Astyanax mexicanus: one gene and its partner. The protein of the gene in region 2 interacts with the protein of the main gene of each other region in a biochemical or structural test. Links are inferred from orthologs where the notes say so. Each region holds a gene or a part of one and is shown on either strand. Other genes may lie near its edges.

Region 1 (8,248 bases), on a different chromosome or scaffold from region 2:
TAGTGACAGATTGTCCACTGCCCTATTCAACAATGAAATATTGGACTTATGTAGAAATGTAAAGAATATTGCACCATCCCAGGTTGTAGGAAAATATATATATATATATATATATATATATATATATATATATATATATATATATATATATATATAGTGTTATTCGTCATAAACTTACTTCAGCAATGATTTTTTTTAGTCATATATTTACTTCAGCAGTGCTAGTATAGTCACAAATGTACTTCAGTAGTGCTGTTCTAGTTATATACATACTCCAGCAGTGCAATTCTAGTCATATACACACTTTACCAGTGCTATTCTTATCAAGTATTGCTATACTAGTCATGAATTTCCTTCAGAAGTGCTATCGTATTCAGTAAATGCCCTTTATTTTGTATTTTTGAACAATGCCATAAAAGTTTATTTTGGGTCGAACACAACTATAATATCATCTAAAAAAGTTTAGAATCTGTACTTTTGACAGTACTGTCAACATCTGTACTTCCCTCCCAATTATTTCAGGTTATTATCAGCTACTAAAGGCCAAATCCAACATAAGGATTTTCTTTAGCCAACTAAGATGTTATATTACAGTATACAGCAATACACTCCCATACATATGCTTCTCCGAGGCCATGTCAACATTTCTGCCACCTCTGTTTGAGAAATGTACACCATAGAATGGCTAAGATGCCAGAGCCGCTGCCAGAACACTTCCCCATCTGTTGCTCCCCCTCCAATGTTCACTGAAGTCCTGTAGATGCTGCCAAAATTAGCCTCTCTCAGCTACGCTAGATTGCCACTGCTGGACTCTAGCTCATAGAGTGCATTTTTCAGAACGAGAAGAAACACAGCAGAGGTGCTTGCGCCTACTCAACAAACCCACCAGCTCTAGTTTGGCTTTGAATCCAGAAGAAACCTCGAAAAAAGATACAAACACATGGCTCCACCTGCAGAAGATGCCAGATTATCTGCAGTGTTTTCAAAAAAATATTATCATATGATTCCCTAAAATATTCAAAGGTGACTAACTCTAGGTTTCTTACATTTTCTCATGGGCATTTACAGCAAAAGTCCAGGAGAAACCTTCTAAAGAGACTAACCCATGGTTCTCTACCAAAGATATCAGATTAAGTCCAGAAGAAACATTAAAAGAGACTAACTCATGGTTCTACCTACAGTAGATATCAGATTATATTCACTCTTTTGATAGAAAAAGTCCAAGAGAAACCTTCTAAAGAGACTAACCCATGGTGCTCAACATTATCTCCACTGTATTCCCAACAAACATCCAGGAGAAACCTTCAAAGAAGACTAACCTATGGTTCTAGCTACAGTAGATGTCCGAATACCTCCATAAGAAACCTCGAAAAGAGACTAATCCATAGTTTTCAGCAGGAAATGTCAGATTATCTTGATCACATTCACAGCAAAAGTACAGGAGAAACCTTCAGAAGAGACAACCCGTGTATTTTTTCAAAAATATCTCCATCATACTCACAGTAAAAGTCCAGACAGAACCTCTAAAACAGATGAACCCATGTTTTTTTTTTTACATTATCTCCAGTGTCATCACACCAAATGTCCAAGGTTAACCTTCTAAAGAGACGAACCCATGGCTCTACCTACAGTAGATATGATATTAAGTCCAGAAGAAACCTTAAAAGAGACTAACTCATGGTTCTACCTACAGTAGTTGTCAGATTATATCCACTCTATTCCCAGAAAAAGTCCAAGAGAAACCTTCTAAAGAGACTAACCCATGGTGCTCAACATTATCTCCACTGTATTTCCAACAAACATCCAGGAGAAACCTTCAAAGAAGACTAACCTGTGGTTCTAGCTACAGTAGATGTCCGAATACCTCCATAAGAAACCTCGAAAAGAGACTAAAGCATAAATGTCAGATTATCTTGATCACATTCACAGCAAAAGTACAGGAGAAACCCGCAGAAGAGACTAACCTGTGGTTCTTTACAGAACATAACCACAGATACAGTAGACACAGTAGAAAATATTTCATCATACTCACAGTAAAAGTCCAGAAAGAACCTTGAAAACAGATGAACCAATGTTTTTTTTGTTGTTTTTACGTTATCTCCAGTGTCATCACCTTTAAAAGAGACCAACCCATGGTTCTGCCATACAGTAGATGTCAGATTATCTCTATACAAAACATCCAGAAGTGACTAGCCCATTGTTTTCTGCAAGAGATGTCAGATTATCTCTATTATCTCTATTATCTCTAGTAGAGTTCTCTAGTAGAACACCCCTATAAGAAACCACCAAAAGAGTCTGAAGCATATTTTTTTTTGCAGGAAATGTCAAATTATCTTGATCAAAACCACAACAAAAGTCCAAAAGAAAGCTTCAGAGGAGACTAACCTGTGGTTCTCTACAGTAGTTGTCAAAATATCTCCATAGACTAAACCATGGTTCTACCTACAGTAGATGTCAGATTATCTCCATAAAAAACATCCAAAAGTAACTAACCCATCGTTTTTTGCAGGAAATGTTAGTGTTAATCTTTATTATATTTACAGCAAAAGTCCAGGAGAAACCTTCAAAAGAGATGAACCCATGGTGATCTGCAGTAGACAATAGTCAGATTATCACCAGTGTATTCACAACAGAAAAAAATCCAAGAACTTTCAGATGAAACTAACTTATTTTACTACAGTTTTCTACAGTAGACAGCAAATAATCTTCAGTATACTCATAGAAAAACTTGATCTGCTCTATCCAGAAGATGTCAGTTCTTCTCCAGTATATTCCCAGCAGCAGTCCAACAGAAAGCTATAGTTGAGTTTAATTCATGATCAGATCTTTGCCAGGGTCTTCAGAGCAGTGTGTTTTTAACAGAAGAGCAAAAGAAAACTTACCGCCAAAGCTTGAAGCCTCTCTTTGTGAAGTTCGGCCTCGGCCATCCTGGAAAAACAAAGGTAGACGTCTCAGATACAGCGTCCCGGTACACCGTCCCAGTACACTGTCCCAGCGAGTGTGTAAGAGTGTGTGTGAGGGTGAGGGCAGTAGGTTAGGTACTGATGGAGGCGCACACACACACACACTCCCTCACTCAATCACACACCGCTCCAATCCAGTAAGACTGACTGTGTGCTGAGGGCAAGTTCTTCTCATTCACTGGCCATGTGCCTGCCAGACTGCCTCTCTCTCTCTCTCTCTCTCTCTCTCTCTCTTTCTCTCTTTCTCTCCTCCCACCTCCCTCCCTCGCAGTCACAGGCCATGTATGTGCAGCAGCAGAAGCAGCTGGGAGGAGGGAAGCACAGAGAGAGAGAGAAAGAGAGAGAGAGAGAAAGAGAGAGGGAGAAAGTGAGAGAGAGAGGAAGAGACTCCCGACGTTTCACACAGAGCTGCTAGGAGACAGGAAGATCTGTCACTAAGGAGGAGGGAAAGGATAACACACCAACCAACCAACACACCTAGAGACAGATAAAGAGAGAGAGAGAGAGAGAGAGAGAGAGCAAAAGAAAGAGAAAGAGAGATATAAAACAGGAAAGAGGTATAAAGCATATTTCTAAATTCTGTGATAATAAAGGAAGCTGTGCAGGCTTTTATCATTCTTCGGGCTCTATCGTACATCCTGCGCAAGGAGCGTCAAGATGCTTATTGCTATCTTACACCCCGTCAACAGCCCATTTTCATATGTTCACGCCACGACAATAGATTAACGGTTGGAGTTGGAATATATCTCCAGTCAGAGCTCACCTGCCTCTTAAAGGAATGGCAAGTGACACACTGATTGATTTAGTTCACGTTACGCCCAATACACACCCATTATTAAAGGAAAACATGATTAAAGGTGTAAAATTGACTTTGGGTGTAGTAAAACATGATAAAGAGTACAAATCTTTGTTGAATAGCACACCTCCGCTCTCCCACAGCTTTCTGAGATCCAGTAATATTTTACAGTTTGTCCAAACATGTTTTAGATTTTTTGATATGGGGCATATTTGCCCCTGGAGATAAATTGTTTTTTACACTGTTGTCCATGCTCAAAGTAGCTCCACACCTTACTGGTAGAATTTGCAGGGCCCTGACATTTAAAACGAGGCATTAAGAACTTTAAAACTGCTCAAGCAGCTTATTAAAAACCACTGTTTAAAACCCATAGCATAATCTAATCTCCGGGCGCTGCCATCTTAAGGTAAAGGTAAAAGATTATGGGTTGTAAACTGTGGTTTGAGCCTGGATAACGGTGTAAAAAGCCATGTATCTTCATGGGCCAAATATGCCCCATACCATCCATTTTAAAGCACGTTTGTAAACTGTAAAAAATTCCTGAATCTCAAAAAGCTGCATGAGAATGGAGGTGGGCTATTCAACAAAAGTTAATACTCTTTATCATGTTTTACTACACCCAAAGTAAATTTTACACTGGAGTTCTCCTTTAATTAAGAGAATTAGTACATGACTTTTACACGAAGAGTAACTGACCAATGCGCTAAAATAGGGACATTTATATTTCTTCAATCCAGATGAATAAACGTATGTATTTACATATAAACATAATGATAAGAACCTAAAGGAGTGAAGGAGAGGAAGAAAGAGATAGAGAACAAGAAAGAGGGAGAAAGTGGAAGAGAGATAGTGGGAGGGGGGGGTCTGCTGGGACTTAGAAAGGGGCGTGTCATGCACCTGGGATATTCAGAAGCTGCTCTCTATGCTGTTTATCAGAGTCAGTCATGTGATAACTCTGCCTAACTGTACAATCCCTCCAGCTGTTATGTACCTGCAGACAAATGATGGATGTCAATACATTAAAATATAAAAATATATTGTTTTAAACATATCAACATGAAAATTAATTCCGCATCTCCATAAAAGTTGTTCTCAGCAGAGGGAAGCATGAAGTGTAAGACTAAGATTTTTTGGGAAAACTCTGCACTGACTTTAGACTTGATAGAACACAGTGGATCAACACCAGCAGATGACATGTCTCTCCAAACCATCACCAAATGAAATAAAAAATTTACTGATGATCAGTGATAATTTTGTGAGACATGTCCTCTGCTGGTGTTGATCCACTGTGTTCTATCAAGTCTAAAGTCAGTGCAGTGTTTTCCTGAAAAATCTTACAGCACTTCATGCTTCCCTCTGCGGAGAACAACTTTTATGGAGATGCAGATTTCATTTTCCAGCAGGACTTTTCCAGGCACACTGCCCACACTGGCAATAGTACCAATTGGTCTTATATAATATTCTCATTTTCTGAGATACTCATTTTTGGGTTTCAATTGGCTGTAAGCCACAATAATCAAAAATAAAAGAAATCAACACTTAAAATAGATCACTCTGTGTGTAATACATCTATATAATATATGAGTTTCACTATAGTGCTTTTTGAGATAGCACTAGTAAGATAAATGGAATTTCTCAAGACCTTGATAATGTTTATATTGTGTTATCCGGATAGGATTATTTTCTCAGGGGGTCCTGGGATAATTTTCTCTTTTATGGGGGATCTTCTGAGAAAATTACAGGCTGAATTATCCACTTTTTTTCACTAAACTCTGTGGTCCTCCGGTAATTTTAGTCCCGCCAGGACTCACATCTCTGAGTTTCAGAACCTTGCATTTAATAAAACAGCTATTTGTCCACTGTCACGCAACGTAATTACACTTTGAGCACACGTTTCCATGGAGATCCACGCAGCAGCGAGTGCGAGTGCAACAGCGAGTGGAAATGGAGGAGCTACTGAACGCGATGTCATGTGACCGAGAAAGCCAAAAAACTCACTGGTCCTCCTGTTTTTCAATTGCAGTCCAGAGTGCAAGAGTTAAATCACTGAGTAGAGGTGTGAAATATTTTACACAGATGTCCCCCTGAGAAACTAATCCCATCTGGAGAGAGCTTAGGTCACCAATTAAGATCTAACACATGGTAAACAAACATGGCCTCCTCCTTGTCATCGAGCAGAATATGGATGGATCACTGCTGTGAGATGTTCTGTAGCTCTTAAACTGTTAGCTATGCAAGTTCTGTAGCTAAGTGAACTGAGGTGAAGGATCCTTGGGTTTAAGGGTTTAGCTCTGCAGACATTAGTCATCCATATTTACTGTGAATATGAACTGAAACGCTGCCAATGACTCTCTTTCACAGCTACCTCCACTCTCTCACAGCTGCACACGACACCTTTCAGCAGCTCCGGTGTGTTTGCCGAGCTCCATTTTTCGCTGCTGCTGTCGTGGAGCAAAGGGGGGCCACTGGCAGAAGGAGCAGGGGGTCCTACTGGCCCCTTTCCCCCGTCCAACCTCCTGTTCAACTCTCCCCGGTGGAGGGATACAAAAAGTCCTTATATGGGGAAAAGGCTGAGCTAAGAGCGGCCGAGTCTGGAGCGCTGTTTGCGTGAGGAAAGCTCGGGGGAACAGACAGAAATGCACTGGACAGAATTCTGACAGAAATGTAGTGCAGTAGAGTATGTTTTTTTTCTTTATATTGTACTAAAGAAAAGGAAGGGATTGCTTTTATCCCCCAATGCATCATTCATAGGCCTAGTTTTCCCATTTGGAGATCTGATGGACTTGTGTGACAAAGGAGTTATATTGGGAATATATGTCATATAACTATGCGTACATATTTATTGTATGCATATTTTTAAGCATCATTTATTGGACACAAATGCGTATGTGCACATGTATTAGCAAAGAAGTGGAAATATATTTTTTAAATATGTGTACAATATGTGTAAAACTGTTTGCATCTAAAAGGAAATGTTCTTTTTTATATAAATGATAAAACAAAGCTCTACGCTAACCTTAGTTCTCTCCCCGGAAACGTTAGCCAGCGCACCTCTAATGTTCAGCTAGCTTAATGCTAACATTAGTTATCTCCCCAGTAACATTAACTTGCTCACGGCTAATTTTAGCTAACGCAATGCTAACCTGTGTTCTTTCCCCAGTATCGTTAGCTAGCTCACGGCTAATGTTAGCTAGCTAAATGCTAACCTGTGTTCTGTCCCCAGTAACATTAGCTAACTCGTGGCTACTGTTAGCTAGCTCTCCTCTAACCTTAGTTCTCTCCCTAGTAACTCATCACTAATGTTAGCATATGTGCTTTCCCACAGCCATTAAATAAACCGTCTTTTAATACCTACAGCAAATTTACAGTGAATTGAAGACAGTTTAAAACCTTAATTATCCAGATTTTAATTAATAAAAGACATTTTAAGACTTTTCAAGGACCCACGGGAACCCTGATTTAGGGTGTGCCGGTTTGTCTTTGGTATAATGAGGGTGAAAAAGTACACCTTCTGCAGCTTGAAATGCATAAAAGGCATGTACTAATTCTTTAATTAATCTTGGGTGTGTTTTTCAGTGGAGCAATTGATTTTTTTTTTTTTTACCACATTACCACAGCTAAGCTACACAATCATACACTTTATAAAGAGCCTGCAAAGATGGTAAAATCCCAACATGCCAGTCATTATCAGCGCAGGTTTTTTTGCAATGCGGAGGTGATTCAGTGCAGCATTCTCTGAAGCATCCTCCAGCTCCAAACTCTATTATGGTAATGACAGCTGGAGCATTTAATAACACAGCACTCAATCGCAGTACTAGAGCTCCTCCAATATTTATTAGATTGATGTTACTCACCAGCTAGAACCACTTCAGATAATAGCTGTCAATAGGTCAGTAATAATGAACCACATTCAACAAACTCCAAACTCTCAAACACTTCTGGTAGCATCGCTTATCAACACATTAAATACAGAAAAAATGACATTTCTGCATTAAGCAGGCGGTTATTAGAACACTTGACTGACTGTTGTAGTGTTTATGAGTATGTATGTATGTAACAAATACATACAAAATAGGGACTTTATTGAGAAAGGCAAGCATGTGCTTAAAATGTTCTATTGGTCAATTCATCCTGGATAATTTACACAGTGTACAGAGCAGCTACAATAACATAAATGTAGATAAGGTACATGATTTTAATTGGACAGCAGCAATACTGTGCAAACTGTAGTTTGATTTTGTTGCCATTAAAAGATGCATGTTTGACTGGTAGCTAGTTACTATAGTATCTCCATTTGTTGCTATATGGGTTGCTAGGGAGTTGTTAGGTGGTTGCTATGATATCCCAAATGGTTGTTATAGTGTTGCTAACTGTTTACAAGAAGGTTACTCTGCTGATTATAGATGATTGTGGTGTATAGAGGTGCTTAATGGTCACAGGGTGTGGGGGCTTTGAGTGTTTCTGCAGAATAAAGAGCTGCCACTATGAT
Region 2 (8,263 bases):
ACTAACAATTAGAATTACAGTAGACATCAAATGGAATGATATCTTCTACTTATTTTCTTTAAGTGGTTGCTGAGGTATCCATGTTGGTTGCTAAGTTGTTGATACGTTATTACTGTAACGTCCTGTGTTGATGTTGACTTGTTGTTACATGATAAATAAAGTGGTTGTTAGTGTGTTGCTAGGTGGTACACAGATTCAAAAGGGTGCAAAAGATGTAACCAAGAATGTACAGTGGCTTGCAAAAGTACTCATACCCCTTGAACTTTCACATTTTGTCACCTTACACTTATTTAAATGTATTTTATTTTACTGAGATTTTAAGTGATAGACCAACACAAAGTAGCACATAATTGTAAATTGGAATGAAAATCATACAATGTTTCCGAAATTTTAATCAAACAAAAATCTGAAAAGTTTGACGTGCAAAAGTATTCTACCCATCAGGTAGTTGTCCAGGCACCACCACGTTAAAATTATCGTTATAATTACAGTTTTTAGCAAAAGAACATTTTACACTGTTCTCATTTCCAATTATATATCTACTAGAGACAGATTATATCTGTCCAGTATCATTTATTTTACTTTAATCTTGGATATATGGAGATATTTGGAGAAGTGCATTATTAGTAGTAATATTGTCTTTATAATGTCTAATAATGTCCAGTCTTTTAAATTGTCTCGTCCTGTATTTTTTGTTATTTAGTGTTCTAGTTTTATGTTGCACTGTTGTCGTCACTCCTGCACTTTATGTTGTCTATTGCTTGTTGTTCCATGTTGCACCATGGTTCCGGAGGAACGAAATTTCACTACACTGTGTACCTGTACTCAAATGTAATGACAATAAAAGCCTCTTGATTCTTGACTAGTATCATTATTTTAGGGCCATATATATCCAACCCCAGTTGTAAACCTGTTGGGAGCATCGGTTAAAAGCGCTGTATTTCACATCGTATTTCATTAGGTGAGTTACTTACGCTCGAAGTCAGAATCGTCGTCCTCGTCGTCTTCATCCCCGTTAGACTCCGTCTGCATCGGCTCTCCATCGAACATCACCCCCTTGCCTTTAGCTGCGGCTCCGGACCCGTCCTGGCTCCTGGTGTCCCGCAGGCGGGTGAAATACTGCACGGCGAACTCCACCAGATCCGGCGGCCGCTGGCGGAGCACCTCCACGGTGTAGCCCTGCAGCAGCTCGGTCAGACCCACCGGGATCTCAATACTCATGGCTGTGCGGTGCTTAGTATCCTGATACCTAACTAACTTAGAATATATTTATATAGAGAATTTCTGGAGCGGATCGTACAAAAATATAAATAATAAACTTCTCTTTTATCAGTCCATGTAATTAACCTAGCTAGAGTCAGTTATTTACCAGCTAGTGGACGGGCCTTGGACGAGTACTGTAAAACCTTTAATGTCAGAAATTGACAAAATCTGCCCACCAGTGTGTATAACTTTAATAACTTGTTATTAAACAAGTGGGCAGCAGAAAGTGCCAAGAAGTAGTTAGTACAAAAAAGCTCAAAAACTCACAAAAACACACTTTCAAGGAGAAACAACGTCCTAGTTTAACGTTAGTAGTTTGAACTTGCTTAGCAATCTGAAGTTAAGCTTTTTTGTGCCTCAAAAAAGTTTGACAACCTCTGGCTAATGTTTTGTAAACCTGTCCCAAAGAAATAAAGCAGACAAAAACTTAAAAATATCGCTTAACAAATTGCCCAGCCTTGCTTTCTCCTTCCTAGATATTTCCGAGCTAGTTAGCTTAGCTAGCTGGACAGATAGGTAATGTATTTAGCTAACGTTAATAATGCTGATAAAAAAAGATCAGTACCAACTAAATTCAACAGCGAGCTAATCGATAAATCAACTATCTGTAGACTCTTTCGTTTAGGAGGTAAAAAGAATTTAAGGAGGAATAGAAAGATAGATCTGAGGAAGAGAAAAATAAGAAGAAGAAGCAGCTAGCAGGAGAGGAGACTAGCTGTAGGGTTAGCGCTAATTAGCTTAGCTTAGTTAGCGTTAGCTAAACTAGCTCGCGTTAATTTCCAGTACCAACTAACCTAGGTACCTAGCAGTTATAGCAGTTAGCTGGCTAACTAGCTCACTAATTTAGCTAGATATAAAAATAATTCGCTGTAGACTGATTTAATTTGGGGTGAAGACAGAAGTTAACTAGCCAAACTAGCTAAGCTGTTGATGAACAGAAAGATAGATAGAAAGATATATAGATAGATAGCTAATCAATCTGACTGAGTTTAGCCTAGTTAGCTTAGCTAGTTGGCTAACTCCTAAATCCAGGAGGTTGTGCAGATCTTCTGACGGGTGTTCAGTCCTGTAGCTAAGTTAGCTTTCTGCTCGTTTGACGTCCGTCCAGGTAGCTAACGCCAGGTATAAACTGGAAAAGAAGAGGCTACCCTGTCTTTGACGTGAGAAGAGATAGCTAAAAGCTCAGCATAGAAAGCTAAGAAGGTTAGAGAGACAGAGAGGGAGGTAGTTAGCGGTGTTGTATTAAGTTAGCTTAGCTAAGCTAGGCTTTGCTAGCAAGCTAAGACTGTCTCTCTGCCTGCCTGCTGATTACTGCCTTACTCAAGAAGCCACCAGAGCTTATTAGTTAGCTGTATAGCTAACCTATGCTATTATTCTGCTTGTTATTTTGATAGACAGACAGATAGATAGATAGATAAATGACCAGGCTAAGCTAGCTGCTGTTAGAGAGATAGCTAGAAAGAGAGAGAGGGTGAGAGAAAGATAGCTAGAAAGAGAGAGAGGTAGAGAGAGAGAGAGAGAGAGAGATAAGTGGGGAGGGGTGGGGACAGCAGGGTGGTGAGATTAAGCTCGCTTGTCCTCAGTAGAAGGCCAGTTCTCCAGCATTAAACATTAAAACAAACCAACACACAGACAAAAATAACCCACAGCTAAGCTAGTTAGCTAACTAGCTGCACACAACAGGTCGCCCACAGCAAACCAGCCAACCAACCAACTACCAGCCCCAGCACCAGCCCAGCACTGATGGCCCGGTGAGCCCCCCCAAAAAAACCCGAAAAACAGCGAAAAAACTTTCCCCTCTGTGTCAATCCTCCTTCTCCTCTCCTCAGAGCTCCCGTCCAACTGGAACAAATCCCTACGAATAATCAAATCCCCCCGAAATCGATTATTTCTACGATTTTTTAATCGTATCCCCCCGGTTTCTGCCTCTCGTCGAGGCGCGCTCTCTCCTTCCACTCCACGAGCGAGCCAGCCAGCGAGCCGCGCTTTGGGGGCGTGGCCTCAACAGTAGCGTCAACGCAAGCGCCTTTGTTTGTTGATTGACAGCCCAACAGACCAATCATAGCACGGTAAGCCGAGAGGGGGCGTGTCCGTGAGGAATTTAGATGTAGGTTCACCCACAGTATGACCCATCATTCTGAAATAACAAAATATTGGCACTTAAAATTGAATATAATCAAGAGGAAGATGGATGATCACAAGCCATCAAACACAAAAGCAGTGTGTAAGACTGGTGGAGGAGAACATGATGTCAAGATGCCTGAAAACTGTGATTAAAACCAGGGTTATTCCACCAAATATTGATTTCTGAACTCTTAAAACTTTATGAATATGAACTTGTTTTCTTGCTCTAAATAACAATATGTTTATTTGGAATTTGGGAGAAATGTTGTGCATTTATATACTATAATATTCTAGTCGATTCCTATTTTTTTTAGTAGTTTGCATTAAGCCAAGTCAAGTAGTTTTATTGTCAGCACTGCATATGTACAGGACATACAGAGGATTTGAAATTACGTTACCCTCCTTCCCAAAGTTACAGCAAGTACAGCAAGATAAAATTATGAATAATAAAAGAACGAGAGACACTAAATATAAAGTATAACAAAGTATACTTGTGACAAGAGACACAAGATAATAGTGAAAAATATTTTTTTGGAAGCTTTAAAGCTTGACTTTTGATAACAGGCTGATAATAATTTGAATTAGGTGTTTTAGGGCGAGGAAGCTCCCAAAACATGCAGGGAAGGAGATCTTCTTCACGATTAATCAAAAATAACAAAAATAATATAAGGATATAGTGAGAATATAAAAAGCAAAATATACTTCTTTCCATATTCTTGCACATATACATATTTTTATTAATGTATTTGCACTTTGTATGTCTTTTTACGACTCATTGTATTGGATGTTGATATGCCATGTAACATTATAGTAAATATATTAAAGATAAATAAGTAAGTAAGTAAAAATATAAGTTATGGAAAGGTACAAAAAATGCGTTTTTTCCTCAGGAAAACACTATACTAAAATGGTAAACGAATGCCTATTTATTTATGTTACTCCTGTTATGTTATGCAGCGCAATGGGGGCGTGGCTTCAACGGCAAGGAGGCTTTGATTGGCAGCCGGACTAACCAATCACAGCGCAGCAACCCGAGGGCGGGGCGTGTCCGTGTGGAATTTAGAGGCGGGTGATAAAGTGACAGCTCGCGCTGCACCGTGTGACCCAACAGGCTGAAACAACGTCAGCGCTGCATTCCAGCCAGCGCGTGCTGAAAACCACACCTGTGCAGCAGGGCAGGTAACTACTGCTCACCTGGAGAACCAGGACAGCAGCAGGTAAACAGCACGCACTAATCTCAGTTCATGTTCTGCATCAATCAAGCAGAGTGCAGGAACAGCGAGGAGATAAGATATCTCCAGAACATGAAGCTATAAATAAATAAATAAAACCTGAAGGGGATATATAATAAAATAACTACATAATATTTATCTTTTCTCTTGTTCTGATTAATTCTATTCAGTTCTACTCTATTTTATGCCATTGCATTGCATTATCTTCTATTGTAATCTAATCTAATATATTGCATTCCATTCTATTCTCTATTCTATTTAATTCCTCGCTTTTTTTTATCTTATTCTATTCTCTTCTATTTGTACTATGTTCTAATGTAATCAACTTGACTTTACTCTATTGCATTTTCTTTTATTCTATTCTATTCTATTCTATTCTATTCTATTCTATTTTATTTAATACTATGCTATTATTTATTCTAGGGCTGAGCAATATTGTTAAAAAATAATCTCAATATTTCCATTACATTTTATAGTACTTTATTATATTTATTTTATTCTGTTGTATTCGTTGCATTAAAAAGCAGTCAAAGACATATGTATTCATATATATGTATATATATATGTGTCTGTAACTGTGATTAGTTTTAGCGTGCAGGGTACGTATGTATATATGTATGTATATTATATATATGTTATTTATATAAGTGTAACTGTGGTTAGGGTGCAGGATAGAGTTTCAGTGCTCGGTATCCCTGTAAACCTGTACGAGTCTCTGTGTGGTGCCTGTGCGTAAAGCTGTGCTCTGCAGGGGTAGGATTTCTCTGTATATAATTAATATAGGTTATATAGGTTATATATATATATGTATATGTGTGTGTAGCTGTGGTCAGGGTAGAGGATAGTGTAAACCTGTACGAGTCTCTGTGTTGTGCCTGTGCGTAAAGCTGTGCTCTGCAGGGGTAGGATTTCTCTGTATATAATTAATATAGGTTATATATATATATATGTATATATGCGTGTAGCTGTTGTCAGGGTGTAGGACAGTGTAAACCTGTCCGAGTCCCTGTGTCGTCTCTGTGCGTAAAGCTGTGCTCTGCAGGGGTAGGATTTCTCTGTATATAATTAATATAGGTTATATATTTATGTATATATGTGTGTAGCTGTGGTCAGGGTGGAGGACAGTGTAAACCTGTACGAGTCTCTGTGTGGTCTCTGTGCGTAATGCTGTGCTCTGCAGGGGTTGGATTTCTCTGTGTCGTGTTGCTGCTCTGCTGTAAATATAGAGCAGTGTCTCTAATCTCAGCTCTTTACCTGCAGGGCACAGGTGAGGCTTATCCACCCAGAACCTGCAGCAAATCCCCAGATCACACATTCACCTGCTGCAGCAGCGCCCCCTGCAGACCCAGCACAGACACTGCACTGCATTTCTGCACTGCTATTCTATTCTATTCTGATCCATTAAGTTAAATTTCAAAATATTACTATTTATTGTATTCTATTCTGTTCTATTTTCTTCTATTGTACTTAATTCTACTTCATTCTTTTCCAGCATATTCTGTAATCTACTCACCTCTACTCTACTGTACTCTACTCTTCCCTATTCTACTCTACTGTATTCTAGTCTGCTCTACATTACTCTACTGTACAATACTTTACTGTATTCTACTGTACTCTACTCTACAATACTTTACTGTATTCTACTGTACTGTACTCTACTCTTCCCTATTCTGTTCTATTGTATTCTACTCCGCTCTACTCTACATTACTTTACTGTACTCTACTCTTTCCTATTCTACTCTACTGTATTCTACTGTACTCTACTCTTCCCTATTTTACTCTACTGTATTCTACTCTTTCCTTTTTTACTCTACTGTATTCTACTCTTCCCTCTACTCTTCCCTATTTTACTCTACTGTACTCTACTCTTTCCTATTCTACTCTACTGTATTCTACTGTATTCTACTCTTCCCTATTTTACTCTACTGTATTCTACTCTTCCCTATTTTACTCTACTGTATTCTACTCTTTCCTTTTTTACTCTACTGTATTCTACTGTACTCTACTCTTCCCTATTTTACTCAACTGTACTCTACTGTACTGTATTCTACTGTACTCTACTCTTCCCTATTTTACTCTACTGTATTCTACTGTACTGTATTCTACTGTATTCTACTGTACTCTACTCTTCCCTATTTTACTCTACTGTACTCTACTGTACTGTATTCTACTGTACTCTACTCTTCCCTATTTTACTCTACTGTATTCTACTGTACTGTATTCTACTGTATTCTACTGTACTCTACTCTTCCCTATTTTACTCTACTGTATTCTACTGTACTGTATTCTACTGTATTCTACTGTACTCTACTCTTCCCTATTTTACTCTACTGTATTCTACTGTACTGTATTCTACTGTATTCTACTGTACTCTACTCTTCCCTATTTTACTCTACTGTATTCTACTGTATTCTACTCTTCCCTATTTTACTCTACTGTACTCTACTCTGCTATATTCTACATTACTCTACTGTATTCTACTGAAATGTACTCTTCCCTATTGTGCTCTATTGTACTCTACTCCTCCCTATTATACTCTACTCTACTCTACTCCTCCGTGATTGGATGGGCTGGAGGGATGGTGAATCTGTACCGGAGTCTGAAGGTCAGGTGGATCTGGAGTGATCTGAGGCGGATCATCAGTCAGAATCTGGAGCGGTTCTGTACCGAGAGGAACAGGAGAGATTATTATTACAGGAAAACGTACCTGAACAATAAAAAACCCACATATCATAAAACAATAACTGAATTTCCCTCACTTTTTATTTCAAATAAAGGACTTTAATAATTATATTAATATAAGGATATTAATTTATAAAATTATTAATACTGTAATTATGTTTATTTGAATCCATAGTCTTTATTTTTCTGTTTCCTAGTTTGATTTTTATAAATCAAATATATGATATATGTCAAATATCAAATAAATATATATGTATATTTATGGATATGGATTTGCATATATCATTCTATTCAGCCTAAAGAAATTTAGTAGAAATGTTTTTCAGGCTGGATTATTTTTTGAATGAAGATCCACAGCTGTACATCCAATCAGAATAGAGATAATTTACATTCAGTAGATTATATAAATAAATACATATTAAATAAACACAGACATTAATAACTGTTATTACTTACTTTAGCCCCCCTGTACCTGCGGGCAGGGCGCGCGGACAAGGATCAGCCAAACCGGTATAATGTGGTTTAAGGGCGCCGCCTACTGGCCATTCTACAGAACTGCAGATATCCCCACACTGTTCACACTGAACCACACTGAGACACATTTACACCGAATTAAAATAAAATAAAGATTCTTCAGTAAAGATCAGAATTATAATAGTAAGTGATTATTATAAGATAGAGATTTTATCACAGGATAAAATACAAATATTATTACTATATACAGCTCTGGAAAAAAATAAAATTTCACTTAAAAATGATGAGTTTCTTTGATTTTACCAAATTGTAAACCTCTGGAATATAATCAAGAGGAAGATGGATGATCACAAACCATCAAACCACCAAACTGAAGCATAAAGCATAAAGTTATCCAAAAGCAGTGTGTAAGACTGGTGGAGGAGAACATGATGCCAAGATGCATGAAAAAAAAACTGTGATTAAAAACCAGGATTATTCCACCAAAT

The links.
Region 1: the proteins of prkar2aa (region 2) and A-kinase anchor protein 2 form a complex in vitro, tested with the Homo sapiens proteins (2 studies listed by BioGRID, with this or other methods). The link is inferred for Astyanax mexicanus from reciprocal best matches to the Homo sapiens genes PRKAR2A and PALM2AKAP2.

What each region holds. Positions count from the first base shown.
Region 1 is NC_064427.1:25,515,930-25,524,177, reverse strand, and holds the start of A-kinase anchor protein 2, read right to left. Parts: upstream 3,161-8,248; 5' UTR 2,928-3,160; coding exon 2,883-2,927; intron 1-2,882. UniProt on the Homo sapiens protein: Binds to regulatory subunit (RII) of protein kinase A. May be involved in establishing polarity in signaling systems or in integrating PKA-RII isoforms with downstream effectors to capture, amplify and focus diffuse, trans-cellular signals carried by cAMP.
Region 2 is NC_064419.1:50,097,218-50,105,480, reverse strand, and holds the start of prkar2aa (protein kinase, cAMP-dependent, regulatory, type II, alpha A), read right to left. Parts: upstream 3,241-8,263; 5' UTR 1,222-3,240; coding exon 975-1,221; intron 1-974. UniProt on the Homo sapiens protein: Regulatory subunit of the cAMP-dependent protein kinases involved in cAMP signaling in cells. Type II regulatory chains mediate membrane association by binding to anchoring proteins, including the MAP2 kinase.